4 linked regions of the Saccharomyces cerevisiae S288C genome follow. The main gene of each other region encodes a partner of the protein of the gene in region 2 in a complex. Each region holds a gene or a part of one and is shown on either strand. Other genes may lie near its edges. The genes, in order: QCR2, COR1, RIP1 and QCR8. A codon is read from its position in the direction of its gene.

Region 1 (3,985 bases), on a different chromosome or scaffold from region 2:
GTTGAGTTGATAATTTTCTCAGACACCAGCTTGTTATCACGAATACAACGGCTTAAACGCATTGCTGAGGGTCCCAACGTAGACGCGATAACATACTCATAAACAGATGACTTTAATACTGGCATTAGTTTGCTATATGGAACATAGTAAACACCTGGTTTGGTTTCGTTCAAAAAGGGGAAATTTGATGATGCTAGGATTTTTAAATGACTATTTATCAAAGAAGCTGAGTGAGGATCCTCAGTGTCTGCATCCAAATCCTCCTCCTCTTCGTCTTCTTCTTGTGTATCTCCACTTTCTTGAAGAGATTTGGAAACAGCAGCAGGTAGCGCCGGGATCACAAATCCATCTTCGGTTTTTAATTTTTTACTGGGTAATGATGCAGCAGCGTTTGAGCCAGAACGCTTTTTATTGTCAGAGGGCTTTCTAGATAATAAGCTTCCACGCAAGTCCAATTCTGCGGGGAGATGTCTTGCCAAGTCAATAGCATTAAAGGTAAGCCCTGGTGTCTTCTCCTCAACAAGTTCGGCTTCGTCTTGAAACGATTTTGCTTCCTCCAAATCTTGTAAAAGCCCAGTTTGAGTTAGTGGATCTCTAATTTTAGGAGACTTTTGCTCTGTGAGTCTTAATGCAATTTTGTAAACTTGAGCTGTGACGGAGCCGACTCTTGTCTTGGCCAAGTTAATCAATTGTTTAGATCTTCTACCTTTCATAAATCTATCCAAATTAATCGTCAGAGAGACTGTAGGTTTAACAATCCTCAATGAGGTCTTTGGATCAACCGTTAAGATTTGTGAAAGCTCATTTGGTTTATTTATGATTTTGGCAAAATCAGTTTTCGCATTCATCTTGGCTTGGGATCTTTTCTTCAAATCGGACAACGGGGAGTTTCTGGGAATATTTTTGTAATGTTTTTCATATAAAAATTGCCAGAGATCTTCGATTGGGGTATAATGCAATTTTGATATTTGAATAAGATATCCCATTTCACACAGTTGCACGAATAGTGATGAAATGGTGTACTTCATGGAATCTGACGTGACACTACTTAGATAATCTTCCACTGTTAAGGACCCTAATGATATAACGTTTTGTACAATTTCAGCCACCAGCTGTTTATGCTCCTCTTCGTCGTTTACACGCATTTGCGTAATAATTTCGTCAATAATCAACCCTGAGTAGAGTAAAATGTGTATCCCTTCCTCGTTATAGTAATAATAAGTCGTTTTTTTCCCGGATATTGCTGTTTCTTGCAGGTACTTAACACACCTTAATTGAGTTAATGAGACTAGTGTCGTCTTGACGCTGTCTACATCCATACCATCTATTTTCTCCACTAACTCGCGCACACTCAATCTGCCCAGCGCAACCAACATCCCAATTACAGAAGCTGCTCTTTCACCCAGATGTGCCTTCACCAACTCTTTGTAAAGAAACAAATCGGGATTCAAGGTTCTCTGTTCCAAGGATGATATGGTCATAACATCTTCGGGGGTGACCAACTTCTCAGATTCGACAGTGCTCTCACCTGTTTGGTTCTCTGCACTAAGCGCTTCTCCCAGTAACTCGTCCATTTGGATCTTGCTCAACAAAAATTTTTCCCTATTCCTGTGTCAGCAATTCTCTATTGTTCTCAATATTTCTTCCACTATTATTATTTTGATCCAAAATTATTTTTTTCCTTCAATGCGATGAGCTTTTGAAAAATTTCTGATCATTCCCAACGAACCAATAGAAGGCCCGCCCCGTCTTATATCCGTTAGCCTACCAAATATATATATAAAGAACAAGGGCCTTTCCTCAGAGCGTTTGCTGACGAAGTTTTAGAAGTTAATAAGGTTTTTAACAGCAGTGTGCTCGAACGATTAGGACGGGAGAGTTAAAATTATTAAAAGGAAAAAAGAAGAACGTTGATGTTGTCAGCAGCTAGATTGCAATTTGCCCAGGGGTCAGTTAGAAGGTTGACCGTTTCCGCTAGAGACGCACCTACTAAAATATCTACATTGGCTGTTAAGGTCCATGGAGGGTCTCGTTATGCAACCAAGGATGGTGTGGCCCATCTTTTAAACAGATTCAACTTTCAAAACACGAACACTAGATCAGCTTTGAAATTAGTCAGAGAATCCGAATTATTAGGGGGAACTTTTAAGTCTACCTTGGATAGGGAATACATCACTTTGAAAGCTACCTTTTTGAAGGACGACCTTCCCTACTACGTCAATGCCCTAGCAGACGTGCTATACAAGACTGCCTTCAAACCTCACGAGCTCACCGAATCTGTTTTGCCTGCTGCTAGATACGATTATGCGGTCGCTGAACAATGTCCGGTAAAGAGCGCCGAAGACCAATTGTATGCCATTACATTCAGAAAGGGTTTAGGAAACCCATTGTTATACGATGGTGTGGAAAGAGTCAGTTTGCAAGATATCAAGGACTTTGCGGACAAAGTCTATACCAAGGAGAACCTTGAAGTTAGCGGTGAAAATGTTGTTGAGGCCGATTTGAAAAGATTTGTTGACGAGTCACTGTTAAGCACTTTGCCTGCAGGTAAGTCATTGGTGAGTAAATCCGAACCAAAATTCTTTTTGGGTGAAGAAAACAGGGTAAGGTTTATCGGTGACTCCGTTGCCGCCATTGGTATCCCGGTAAACAAAGCCTCCCTAGCTCAATATGAAGTATTGGCCAACTATTTGACCTCTGCCCTATCCGAGCTTTCCGGTTTAATCAGCTCGGCTAAACTTGATAAATTCACTGACGGCGGCCTATTTACTCTGTTTGTAAGAGACCAGGACAGCGCCGTGGTATCTTCCAACATCAAGAAAATTGTTGCGGATTTGAAGAAGGGCAAGGACTTATCCCCTGCAATAAATTACACAAAGTTAAAGAATGCCGTCCAAAATGAATCTGTTTCCAGCCCAATTGAACTAAATTTTGACGCCGTGAAGGACTTTAAGTTGGGAAAATTCAACTATGTAGCCGTCGGTGATGTTTCCAACTTGCCATATTTGGACGAATTGTAAGAGGAAAGTATTTGTACAAAACGAAAAACTAAAGGCAAATATATATATAGATGTTGCCGCGCACCTTTTTTTTAATGAATATTCACACAAATATTGAAAATAAAAACAAACAAAATTCAAATAACAACATGTAAGACCAAAAAAAAATCCCTCATTATTTATTCCTTACCCTTTCCAAATTCTTACTATACTAGTAAATATATATTTAATTATCCTTTTTTCTACTTCAGCATACAATCCTTCTTTTGCCGCAGGTTTATAGTTAGACCCCTCAATTCTGTCAAGTTTCAGTGGTACGTTATTTTATGTCTCATCTCACGATCCTGGCAAAAAAAGAAAGGCATGTAATTTGAGGAGGCGATTCACCCTCATTTTTACGCAACAACAATGCTGTGTGGCTTACACGCCTCTGCGTACATATCTACATATTTAACGGTCCTGTATTTTCAAGCACGCAAGGCTGAAATAAACGGTTGTTTGCTTATGCGCGATGCACTCCGCCGAACATCACCGCAAAAGCACCGTAGGCGGAGATCTCCCAGCTAGTATGGGCATGACGGAACCACGATTTCCAGATATAGATACTTAAAAGCACTAAAAGGTCTATACATAAAACGCAGACTTACGTAAGATACATAGCAACTGCCGATATGGACGCCGCCATGCCGAATGACAAAGGGAGAATGTAGTACTAATTGATATCGTCTTATCCTCTCAGGAATGCAAACTTAAAACATACTTTCTCCCGTCCTAACAACGCCGGTTGTCGACGATAAATACCCCAAGAAATGCCCGCACAGAATCTCCTCCGTTAGGTGGTCATGCCCCGAGGGTGCGAGGTTGTTTCCTGCACGGTAAATCGGGATGCCATGAAAGCCGGCCCTCCCCACGCGTCCCCTAATTTTTTTCCAAGTGAATATCTGCATCGGCCACCGTTTTATATTACTTCGATAAGCTTGCCTTAA
Region 2 (4,241 bases):
TTGAATTCGTAGTTTTATTGCGCAAAGTACCATATTAAAACTTTACTTTTCGCCTATGCAATAATCTTGTACATATTGAGTTATCGTGGTAAAATAAAAAACCTGTGCCGAACGCCGTTTTGGAGCATGGTATAGAGTTGAAAATGACTAATAAAAGGAACCGTTAATTTACCCATATACTGGGCGAAAACAAAAGGTTCTTTTTTTTTTTTTTTTTTTTTTTTATTTTATTTTATTTTAAACTAAAAACTTTATTTTGAACGTTATGAAGTAAGAATATATATATTTTGCGTTTGGTATTTAGACAAGTGGTGATGCACTAGTTAGTAATAATGATACAACAACAATGAGAAAAAAAAAATAGGATGCAGATGTGAATATGATAATGCAAAACGAAGTTGTGTTATTTCCTTCATTTTAATTTATGCTGTGATAGGACAAGAATGAAATCTCGTTAATGGTACGGAACCATCGTCGACATCGCTACTACTCTCGTTTTCGCTGTCATCTTCTTGTCCATTTACCCGCCGAGAGAGCACACGGAAGATTGGCGCTGAACTATGCAAACTCACAGCATCGAGCGTTTCAGTGTCCTGTTCTTCCTCTGTCGTAGAGGCAGTGGCGGGAAGAGCATTGTAGCGCGGCGTTGATTCGGCAAGTTCATCCGTCTGCTCGGAATGAGAGTTTGTGTGAGTCAAATATTGATAATTAGGTGCGGTGTGAAAACTAAAGTACATGTCAATTTTCTTGTTATAATCACCGCCAGAGTAATCGTACTCAAAATCATAGTCTTCATAATCATCATCGTCTTCACTGTCAGTAGAAGATAGAGTGTCAGCATCTGGATCTTCGTCACTAGAGTAAAAATCACAGTAATCTTCACTTTCTATCGTCTTTTCTGCATTTTCCTCCTTACCGACGTCATTTTTACTAGCATTAGCATTGGACAATTCGATATGTTCGATGGACAAGTTTTCAGGTCCTTTACTGAAAGGGTCTCCGGCAAGGGCGTTGGTTGCAGCATTATGAGTTTCCACATTTTCTGTAATCTTATCCAGCAAGTTTGCGTGCCCGACTAAAACTCTCAGGTTGTAGTCTTTGTTTTTAGTAGTCACGCTAACGCATTTTGCCAGCTTGGAGCGTACTTTGCTGGCCAAAATATATTGATCTTGAATCGATGGGGTTGTAGAGTTCATTATAATCGCAGTATGCGGAATTTTCTATGTGAGAAAAACAATAAATAATTGTGAAAAAACTTGGATGTATAGTGTAATACTATAAAAAATTTCTGCTGGTATGTAGCTGTCTTTTTATTTTTTCTTTGGTCATACAGGGCTGTAAGCAGAGAAAGTCGAACAAAGACGTAACACCAGAGAAAGAAACTTGAATGCTTTTGTTAGATATATATATATATATTTATACATATGCCTCTCGCTAGAGGATATATCGCCGCGGAGCGCAGCGAACTACATCCGAAAACATCACAAATAATGCATGGGCAACCGGATACATTGCATTTAGTTTTGCCTTTTTTTCCAATTGTCACAGCTTCCTCGAAGTTTCTGACCCGGTAAAACGTGCGAAATGCCTCTTCTAATGCCGAAACAAGGGAAACCCTTAAAGCTTCCGTGCAAGCTGACCATGCCGGTCCGCACTTCGGGTCTTGTCCGTCGCCCGTGATCCAATAGGATACAACTACAAATCTGGGGTAAAGTCCGACTTTCGGCCCGCCGTGCGTTACTGCATGTTACATCACTATGGTGGGGACGGAAAATCACAGATGAGTCAGCTTCGTGATTTCCTGTTTCGGTGATGCTTGCAGTATACTTCAAATACTTCGCTTTACTTGGCAACCTTTTTTTTTGCCTCTCTAGCATTTCACCCATACCCACCAGGGGGAAAAAGAAAAGAGAGATTTTAAAACCAGATATTCTTTTTCACGATTTACATAACCCGGACTGGGTAGGGTAACATGTATATGAACTTTAACTGTGACCCGGACAGCACGCTTTCTGCACCAATGAAATGCCAATAAATTAACAGTGTTTTTTGTCCTCCAGAAGTTCAAGGGCCCGCGCTGTCAGCTGCACCAAATAAAAACCAAACAAGAAAATTAAAGGCCTACAGCGCTCCCTAACCGATATTCCCCTACTCTCTTTCCCCGTCTTATTCGAGGAAAACAGCGTATAATAAAGCAATAGCTTTCACAGAAAAAATATTATATCATCCCTGTTCGTATAGGTAACGAATCCTAATATTAAATTGCTACCATTGCTGATCAAGACAATTGTGGAGTAATAATACGAGAAGAACATCATCGTCACCATATCACTGAGAAAGAAAACACAAGATATATAAACAAAAAAAATGCTAAGAACAGTAACTTCAAAGACTGTATCTAACCAGTTCAAGAGGTCTTTGGCTACAGCTGTAGCAACCCCCAAGGCCGAAGTAACGCAATTATCTAACGGTATAGTTGTAGCCACTGAGCATAATCCTTCCGCTCACACAGCCTCTGTCGGTGTTGTCTTCGGCTCCGGTGCTGCCAACGAAAACCCTTATAACAACGGGGTTTCCAATTTATGGAAGAACATCTTTCTATCCAAAGAAAACTCTGCTGTTGCCGCCAAGGAAGGTTTGGCATTGTCTTCCAATATCTCCAGAGACTTCCAATCTTACATTGTATCTTCTTTGCCAGGTTCTACCGATAAATCACTAGACTTCTTGAATCAGTCTTTCATCCAACAAAAGGCTAATTTGCTATCTTCTTCTAACTTCGAGGCCACGAAGAAATCTGTCTTGAAGCAAGTTCAAGATTTTGAAGAAAACGACCATCCCAACAGAGTTTTGGAACATTTACACTCCACCGCCTTCCAAAACACTCCATTATCTTTGCCTACTAGAGGTACTTTGGAGTCCTTGGAGAATTTAGTTGTTGCTGATCTGGAATCTTTTGCCAATAACCATTTCTTGAATTCAAATGCTGTTGTTGTTGGTACCGGTAATATCAAACATGAGGATTTAGTAAATTCCATCGAATCCAAAAACCTAAGTTTGCAAACCGGTACCAAGCCCGTACTCAAGAAAAAGGCCGCTTTCTTGGGTTCCGAAGTTAGATTGAGAGACGACACCTTGCCAAAGGCGTGGATTTCGCTGGCTGTGGAAGGTGAACCTGTCAATTCACCAAATTATTTTGTTGCTAAATTAGCCGCCCAAATTTTCGGCTCATACAACGCCTTCGAACCCGCTTCTAGATTACAAGGTATCAAATTGTTAGACAACATACAGGAGTACCAATTATGCGACAATTTCAATCATTTCTCTCTTTCTTACAAAGATTCCGGTTTATGGGGGTTCTCTACGGCCACGAGAAACGTTACCATGATTGACGACCTCATCCATTTCACTTTGAAACAATGGAACAGATTGACCATTTCTGTCACTGATACTGAAGTTGAACGTGCCAAATCGCTGTTGAAATTACAATTAGGGCAGTTATACGAATCTGGTAATCCCGTCAATGACGCTAACTTGTTAGGCGCAGAAGTCCTAATCAAGGGCTCCAAACTGTCTCTGGGTGAGGCTTTCAAGAAAATTGATGCAATCACAGTCAAAGATGTTAAGGCTTGGGCCGGTAAGAGATTATGGGACCAAGATATTGCTATTGCTGGTACAGGCCAAATTGAAGGGTTATTAGATTACATGAGAATCAGAAGTGACATGTCCATGATGAGATGGTAAGATGTGTGATAATATATTTTCCATGCACATAAAATAGAAATAAGCAAGCTGCTAGATGTATACAGGCACGCTCGCACACTCACACCATAAATGAATTTTTTACATGTATTTTATATTCTAGTAACCCAAGTAGTCTTCATTATTTATTGGCAAGGTCACTGTTCCTTGCAAAAGTAGAAAATAAAAAAAGAAAAAAAAAGAAACTCGTAAGAAAACAAGATTAAATAAACGTCTTATTTTATATAAGTGTATATATATATATATATATATATGTGACCAAGATCCTGAAGAACTATCGATTTTAAAAATAAGAAAGATGAACTTTTTTTTGGTAAAACATATTTAATGATATTATGCAAATGGGAAGTTGTTGGTAGAGAAGTCATCTCTCGATCATCTGGACTTCTTGCCTAATGGACTGCTAATATTCTCACGGTAGGTAATACCAGCAATCGCAACCATCTTATCCTCTTGTGAAGAGCTCATCGATGGACTCACTA
Region 3 (3,649 bases), on a different chromosome or scaffold from region 2:
CGAATATGTCAGTTTACATTGGTCAGTCTATTGGAGAATTAAGTTTGATCGTAGGTATAGACCGGACAATATGCCGGAATATGTAAGGCAATTGTTCCAAGATTTGGAAGGTATTGATTTAAAAAGTAATAAAGTTTCAAATAAATATGATAAGCAAGATAATAGCAACGGGAGTGAAATCAATGGGGGCTTTTTTGATAATGAGGAAGGGCAGGAACTCCACATGGGTCAAAAAGCAAGTTATTTTGCAACGACATACAATTCAAGATTATTTGACAGTAAATACTCCCAATTAAAAAAGAAATTCATGGACTGGGATAGTAATTCCTGGACAGATATTCCAGATGATTTAAAAATATACCTACAGCAAGATGAATCGCTTTAGCATTAAAAAAACCCCTTCGGTACGTAATATAAAAAATTTTATAGGTAATATACATATATAAAAATACTTCAATCATTTTTACAATCTTGTATACTTTATACAACATGTGAAATCTTCTGCTTCTGGACATCAATATTCAAATACAGGCCAATCTTAGGTAAAACATTTGGAGAAAAGAAGGATAAGGCAGGACGAGGGAAGATAAATAGTTTCGTTAATTATAAATACATGCAGATAAATAAAGGAATATCAAATATTATGAATAGAAAAAGAAGATGGTGAGACAAAAAAGTAGTAATAAATAGGTCCAAATCTTCTTTATTTCCCCTTTCTTTTCTTATCCTTTTGTTTTCTCCATATTGTATAAGAATATATTCTTAGGAAAATCAACAGGGAATACAGTATAGTGATTTTCGTTCCTTTTTGAGCGTAATCCCTTCGAGACTGTGATGTTGATTATTTTTGTTGTGATTTCAAAATTCTTAGGTTAGTTGTATAGTTCCCGTTCATAACATAATGGATAGTAAATGAAAAATCAAAATAAGGGTGAAACAAATAGACAATAAAGATGTAGTTTTCGAGGACGAAAAACAAACCTAACCAACAATGACCTTATCACCATCGAATTCATAAGCAGGAATTTCTAAGTTTAAGGGGGCAGGTCCCTTTCTGATTCTACCGGAAATATCATAATGTGAACCATGGCAAGGACAGAACCAACCACCAAAATCACCGGCTTCACCAATTGGAACACAACCTAAGTGAGTACAAATACCCAGCATAATTAACCATTGAGGGTCTTTGACTCTGTCAGCATCGGTCTGTGGGTCCTTCAAAGCGGACATATCCACACTGTTGGCTTCCTGAATTTCATGAGGAGTTCTGTGTCTAATGAACACAGGCTTACCTTGCCATTTGACAACCACGTTTTTACCCAATGGGATAGCCGCTAAATTAACTTCAACTTTAGCCATAGCCAAAACATCGGCAGTAGCGGTCATAGATGAAATAAAGGTTTCTACGGTTGATTTGGCACCTGCAGATGACAAAAGACCCATAGCACCGACCATAAAGTAAGCATAAGAACGGCCTTTATCAGCATCGTTATTTTCCTTTAAAACGTCATCAAAATTTGGGGTCCTGTACGTGGATTTGCTAGCCAGCAAAGATTGAGAAATCAGTCTTTTGGAAGTTAAAGACATTGGCTTGAAGCAGGTCTTGACAGATGATCTTATTCCTAACATGTTTGTTATTGCTCCTTTCGGTTTCCTAATAAGTGTTAGAGTGATATTATTTATGTTCAATAATTTCTTGGTTTTTAAAAGACGTTGAACTTGAAAGCAACAAAAAGTTACGACAGAGAAGTAATATATTACTTGATATTCAAGAACCAACTATAGTTCTTGCAGGTCTTTTTCCAGTCCTTATAAGGGAGCCTCCGCGTCGCCGCACGTGACCCAAGACCGATAAATGGCGCAAAACGCTGATTGGTCCGTTATGGAGTGTCTAAAAGGAAAAAGATGCGCTATGGACGAACCTGAAAGAGGCCAAATGATAGGGAAGCTTAGAGTGAAAGGTGGAACAGGAGAAGTTGAAAGGATGAAATACACAAGATGACAAGAAGGCTCGAATTAAAGGCGGCTAGTTATTTCAATTTAGGAAGCATTTGCTCTAAGAGTCGATGGGTCGTACTTCATGCACATTATATTACGCATGAATAGCCGCCCAAGCTATATGAACTTATTGGTGGATTTTTGAAACCAATAAAAAGGATTTATGAGAAAGAATAATCTTCCTCTGGGGTATTCATAGCTATCAACGTATGGTTACCTTGTCTTAGTCGGACACTGGACATAACTCTTACAATGGCTGTTAGCTTCTCAATTGACAATGGTATTTAATATACCAGGCGGTTAAAGAAAGGGTAGGTATTTTTTTCTACCTAGTTCAGTTTATATGGATGAGACAGGGATAGACGGGCATGTACGGAGTTTTTCGACTTGATCAGTGCAATCCACTGATTATCGTTTTATGTAGGTATTTTCTTGAGTTACAAAATTTTAGGGAAAGTATGGATACAACCAGAGAGCCGATGTGGTGTTTTTTTTGGTTTTTAGTACATGCAGTACGCTTCTTTTTCTATTTCCTGTATACTTCCTTTAAGCGTATTCGTCGTTATAGGTTCTATTTGCTTTCAACTGAACGCGCTTGCCTGAACGCCTAAAGCGGAAAGAAATACATGACTGAAAAACAGACATTCTGGTCGCAACTCAGCGAAAGGGAGGGTAGAAAAATATATTGTGTTATAATGTCAGCGTTAGCGCATTGCATATTGCACTAGCCATTGCCACGTAAAATGGCAAGACAAGATGAAACGGACTGCAAAAAATTGGATAGCAATTCGGCCTTTTTACCTTTATGCATAACATCTTATAGATCAAAAGATGAGGCTGAGAAGCTGGTAAGTTGTCTTCATCACGAAGGAAGTTACTTTTTATGTTTTAGCTATGGATTGTATACCGGAACGTCCAACGAATTGAAAGCGAAGGTTGAGTTCGCTTTAGATGGACCGTTCGTTGTTAACTACGCAACTGTACCGATGTTCATGTCAGCTTCCTTCTGTCACCTGCTAATGTTTAACGACGGTTCCATTAAGGGATTCAAATGCGAAAATAACAAATTTGAAATTATCTACGACTCTAATGTGGCTCCGAAACTGGATACTATTTCTTTATTAACTTCCAGCTGGTTAAATGCTTCCTTTGAGGGTGTTTTATACACTTGCAATAAAAACATATCATATGATAGTGATTTGCATACGTTATGTACGACAATTTACTCCTTTGACTTCAGAGAAGGAATAGTCGAAAGATTTTATGCCACCGATGGCGAAGAAATTATCTCCTTTGATTTTATTAGCAGGGAGGATTTGCTTGACGACGCCACATGCACAGGTAAATCACACGTTTATTTTCTTTGCCTACTTAAGAGTTGCTATAGTGAAAACCTGTTTTTAAAGGAATACAATCTTGCTGGAAAGCATGGAAGTAGGAAATTTGATTTAAACGAGTACCGCCAATACAATCTTTTGCCGATATGTGATAATGAATTTTGTTATATGAAGGTAGTTTGCGGCCATACCATTGTAGTGTTGACTACTAACTACACTCAAATAATAAATATAAAAGCAAGTGGGCTTACAAACGGGGCTTTTTTCAATAATAAAGGTCTCCCAAATGTAGAAAACTACCAATTTCTAAAAGA
Region 4 (2,331 bases), on a different chromosome or scaffold from region 2:
TCTGGTAGATTGTTGGAGTTGTGGTATTGTTTACTGTACAATGGTCATGGGACAGTATCTTTGGAAAATCGCCATTCCTGAAAAGGATTCTCTTTTTAAATCATTTCTCAGTGAAATTAAAGATGATGGACAGTTTTATCTATTTGAGGAATTAAGACATGTTAGTAGCGAACTGAATAGGTTGAGGAAAATTGCACTATATAGAACGTTCCAGGTCGACCCCACGAAGAGAATCACCATTGAACAATTACTACAAAGCTCCTGGATGAGGAAAACAAAATGCTGTGTAGTTTATAGACACTTACATACCAAGGTTAGTAAATAAAGATATACAAAACAAAAAATGCTTAAGTATTTATTATTACTGATACTGTAAGTAAATAAATAGACTGACTGAATAAATATATGGGGGTTATTTGCTCTTGTTTTATAAACAGAATATATATGTAAGTTTTTAGAAGATCAAAAGATCGATGTAATGTAGAGGCATGGAAACAATATTAAACATTAACTCTTTCCAGCTCTTCTCTACCAGCTTTGCTGTACAGAAATTCATTATACTCGTTACCGTTCTTCCACCAGTACCAATAAATTCCCGCAGGTATTAATACATATAGAAATTGAGACTTAAATCTTCTAAAACTATTGAATACAGCGTTATGGAAAATACCTTGTAATGGCTTTTGAGCATATGGAGACACAGCATATGAGGTTATACCTTTTTGCTTTGGACCACCCATGTGACCCCACCATCCCATGTAAGTTTTACCGCTTGGAGGACCCATTATCGTAGAAGTTTTTGTGTAGTGTTTTGTTGATTATTTGTATTTAACGTACGACAACTTACTCTTAATCGGACTTGCTCAAGTAAACAATGTTCGAGAGATGAGGTCGTTGCTTTTCCTATTATTATATGAATAAAATTTGGGGGGTGGCTCAAGTTTCCTTCTCGTACTACCCGTAATTTCCGATCACGCATTTCTTCATTTTCATTGGCTTAAAAAAAATCCTTGGACTAGTCACGTGGAACGGTAGATCGAGAGATACTATCTTAAAGCTTATACTATATTATATTGGAAGTATATAGTTCTTATACATGGTCCTTATCTAGTTTGAAATCTAATGTTTTATCGATTAGCGTTAGTTCTATTTGCTTCTCTTGTAAACTTTGTTCAAGAACGCAGTTAAGACATCAGCTTTGAAGCCACGAGACTCATCGACCTGAGAAATTTTGGCCTTCAAATCCTTGGCAATAGACTCTTCATATTCGTGGTATAGCTGTTCAATTTTCAAGTCATTGAAAATCTTTTTGCATTTGGCTTCTGCGACTGAGTCCTTCTTACCGTAATTTTCGTCTAAAGTCTTTCTTTGTTCTGCGGAAGCAAGTTCCAATGCCTTGTTGATTACCCAAGAACATTTGTTATCTTGGATATCTGTACCGATCTTACCGATCTGTTCTGGGGTACCGAAGCAGTCTAAGTAGTCATCTTGAATTTGGAAGTATTCACCCAATGGAATCAAGACATCTCTGGCTTGTTTCAAATCCTTTTCATCCGTGATACCGGCAACGTACATGGCCAATGCGACAGGCAAGTAGAAAGAATAGTAAGCAGTCTTGAAAGTAACTATGAAGGAGTGCTTCTTTAGGGAGAACTTACTCAAGTCGACTTTGTCTTCAGGTGCAGTGATTAAGTCCATCAATTGGCCCAATTCGGTTTGGAAGGTGACCTCATGGAACAATTCGGTGATATCTATGTAGTATTTTTCGTTTCTGAAGTGAGATTTCAAAAGCTTGTAGATAGCAGCCTCTAACATGAATGCGTCATTGATGGCAATTTCCCCAACTTCAGGAACCTTGTACCAACATGGTTGGCCTCTTCTGGTAATGGACTTGTCCATCATATCATCGGCGACCAAGAAGTAAGCCTGCAACAACTCAATGCACCAACCTAGAATGGCAACCTTTTCGTATTCTTCTTGCCCCAATTGTTCAACGGTCTTGTTGGAGAGAATAGCATACGTGTCCACAACGGACAAACCTCTATTTAGCTTACCGCCTGGAGTGTTGTAGTTCAATGAGTGGGCATACCAGTCACATGCTTCCTTAGGCATACCGTAAGCCAAAAGCGATGCGTTCAATTCCTCTACTAATTTAGGGAAAACGTTCAAGAATCTCTCTCTCCTAATTTCTTTTTCTGAAGCCATTTCTACGTAATATTTTTGAGTTTATTGTGCCTATGTCAGTCCAATACCTGTTGGTTGAGTTTTTAAAGTTAAAATGAAAACTGATAGAAGAACAATCTATCATAAAGTATTAGTTTCGACATGCGT

What was found.
Region 1: the proteins of COR1 (region 2) and QCR2 are in contact, whole or in part, in a crystal structure (PDB 4PD4), measured with the Saccharomyces cerevisiae proteins. Residues at the interface, in NP_009508.1 of Saccharomyces cerevisiae: Ser45 (codon at 2,500), His47 (codon at 2,506), Thr48 (codon at 2,509), Lys80 (codon at 2,605), Ser83 (codon at 2,614), Ala84 (codon at 2,617), Ala87 (codon at 2,626), Lys88 (codon at 2,629), Glu89 (codon at 2,632), Gly90 (codon at 2,635), Leu91 (codon at 2,638), Ala92 (codon at 2,641), Ser107 (codon at 2,686), Ser108 (codon at 2,689), Leu109 (codon at 2,692), Phe291 (codon at 3,238), Glu292 (codon at 3,241), Pro293 (codon at 3,244), Ala294 (codon at 3,247), Leu297 (codon at 3,256), Gln298 (codon at 3,259), Gly299 (codon at 3,262), Thr361 (codon at 3,448), Arg365 (codon at 3,460), Ser368 (codon at 3,469), Leu369 (codon at 3,472), Lys371 (codon at 3,478), Leu372 (codon at 3,481), Gly375 (codon at 3,490), Gln376 (codon at 3,493); in NP_015517.1 of Saccharomyces cerevisiae: Arg22 (codon at 1,977), Ala24 (codon at 1,983), Thr26 (codon at 1,989), Lys27 (codon at 1,992), Ile28 (codon at 1,995), Arg53 (codon at 2,070), Gln57 (codon at 2,082), Ala64 (codon at 2,103), Leu65 (codon at 2,106), Val68 (codon at 2,115), Arg69 (codon at 2,118), Glu72 (codon at 2,127), Leu73 (codon at 2,130), Leu74 (codon at 2,133), Gly75 (codon at 2,136), Gly76 (codon at 2,139), Thr77 (codon at 2,142), Thr92 (codon at 2,187), Phe93 (codon at 2,190), Leu94 (codon at 2,193), Ser122 (codon at 2,277), Ala126 (codon at 2,289), Tyr129 (codon at 2,298), Ser262 (codon at 2,697), Ala263 (codon at 2,700), Leu264 (codon at 2,703), Ser265 (codon at 2,706), Ser268 (codon at 2,715), Gly269 (codon at 2,718), Pro316 (codon at 2,859).
Region 3: the proteins of COR1 (region 2) and RIP1 are in contact, whole or in part, in a cryo-EM structure (PDB 8YHQ), measured with the Saccharomyces cerevisiae proteins. Residues at the interface, in NP_009508.1 of Saccharomyces cerevisiae: Pro64 (codon at 2,557), Phe151 (codon at 2,818), Glu152 (codon at 2,821), Arg159 (codon at 2,842), Glu162 (codon at 2,851), His163 (codon at 2,854), Ser166 (codon at 2,863), Thr167 (codon at 2,866), Gln170 (codon at 2,875), Pro177 (codon at 2,896), Thr181 (codon at 2,908), Glu183 (codon at 2,914), Phe244 (codon at 3,097), Leu245 (codon at 3,100), Leu251 (codon at 3,118), Trp427 (codon at 3,646), Asp428 (codon at 3,649), Gln429 (codon at 3,652), Arg449 (codon at 3,712); in NP_010890.3 of Saccharomyces cerevisiae: Lys31 (codon at 1,539), Ser32 (codon at 1,536), Thr33 (codon at 1,533), Tyr34 (codon at 1,530), Arg35 (codon at 1,527), Thr36 (codon at 1,524), Phe39 (codon at 1,515), Leu43 (codon at 1,503), Asn47 (codon at 1,491), Ala49 (codon at 1,485), Arg53 (codon at 1,473), Tyr57 (codon at 1,461).
Region 4: the proteins of COR1 (region 2) and QCR8 are in contact, whole or in part, in a crystal structure (PDB 2IBZ), measured with the Saccharomyces cerevisiae proteins. Residues at the interface, in NP_009508.1 of Saccharomyces cerevisiae: Gln170 (codon at 2,875), Leu245 (codon at 3,100), Gly246 (codon at 3,103), Ser247 (codon at 3,106), Glu248 (codon at 3,109), Val249 (codon at 3,112), Arg250 (codon at 3,115), Leu251 (codon at 3,118), Arg252 (codon at 3,121), Asp253 (codon at 3,124), Asp254 (codon at 3,127), Thr255 (codon at 3,130), Val337 (codon at 3,376), Thr338 (codon at 3,379), Asp428 (codon at 3,649), Asp430 (codon at 3,655), Glu440 (codon at 3,685), Gly441 (codon at 3,688), Leu443 (codon at 3,694), Tyr445 (codon at 3,700), Met446 (codon at 3,703), Arg449 (codon at 3,712); in NP_012369.1 of Saccharomyces cerevisiae: Trp12 (codon at 752), Trp13 (codon at 749), Gly14 (codon at 746), His15 (codon at 743), Met16 (codon at 740), Pro19 (codon at 731), Lys20 (codon at 728), Gln21 (codon at 725), Lys22 (codon at 722), Gly23 (codon at 719), Ile24 (codon at 716), Thr25 (codon at 713), Ser26 (codon at 710), Tyr27 (codon at 707), Ala28 (codon at 704), Val29 (codon at 701), Ser30 (codon at 698), Pro31 (codon at 695), Tyr32 (codon at 692), Ala33 (codon at 689).

Annotation. Positions count from the first base shown.
Region 1 is NC_001148.4:917,468-921,452, forward strand, and holds QCR2 (ubiquinol--cytochrome-c reductase subunit 2), read left to right. Parts: upstream 1-1,913; coding exon 1,914-3,020; downstream 3,021-3,985. Other genes in the region: RPC82 (DNA-directed RNA polymerase III subunit C82), read right to left, coding at 1-1,574. UniProt on the Saccharomyces cerevisiae protein: Component of the ubiquinol-cytochrome c oxidoreductase, a multisubunit transmembrane complex that is part of the mitochondrial electron transport chain which drives oxidative phosphorylation.
Region 2 is NC_001134.8:133,643-137,883, reverse strand, and holds COR1 (ubiquinol--cytochrome-c reductase subunit COR1), read left to right. Parts: upstream 1-2,367; coding exon 2,368-3,741; downstream 3,742-4,241. Other genes in the region: ECM13 (Ecm13p), read right to left, coding at 423-1,196; YBL044W (uncharacterized protein), read right to left, coding at 1,518-1,886; PSY4 (Psy4p), read right to left, coding at 4,135-4,241. UniProt on the Saccharomyces cerevisiae protein: Component of the ubiquinol-cytochrome c oxidoreductase, a multisubunit transmembrane complex that is part of the mitochondrial electron transport chain which drives oxidative phosphorylation.
Region 3 is NC_001137.3:105,240-108,888, reverse strand, and holds RIP1 (ubiquinol--cytochrome-c reductase catalytic subunit RIP1), read right to left. Parts: upstream 1,630-3,649; coding exon 982-1,629; downstream 1-981. Other genes in the region: YEL023C (uncharacterized protein), read left to right, coding at 1-385; YEL025C (uncharacterized protein), read left to right, coding at 2,742-3,649. UniProt on the Saccharomyces cerevisiae protein: Component of the ubiquinol-cytochrome c oxidoreductase, a multisubunit transmembrane complex that is part of the mitochondrial electron transport chain which drives oxidative phosphorylation.
Region 4 is NC_001142.9:104,888-107,218, reverse strand, and holds QCR8 (ubiquinol--cytochrome-c reductase subunit 8), read right to left. Parts: upstream 786-2,331; coding exon 501-785; downstream 1-500. Other genes in the region: protein kinase HAL5, read left to right, coding at 1-325; ERG20 (bifunctional (2E,6E)-farnesyl diphosphate synthase/dimethylallyltranstransferase), read right to left, coding at 1,147-2,205. UniProt on the Saccharomyces cerevisiae protein: Component of the ubiquinol-cytochrome c oxidoreductase, a multisubunit transmembrane complex that is part of the mitochondrial electron transport chain which drives oxidative phosphorylation.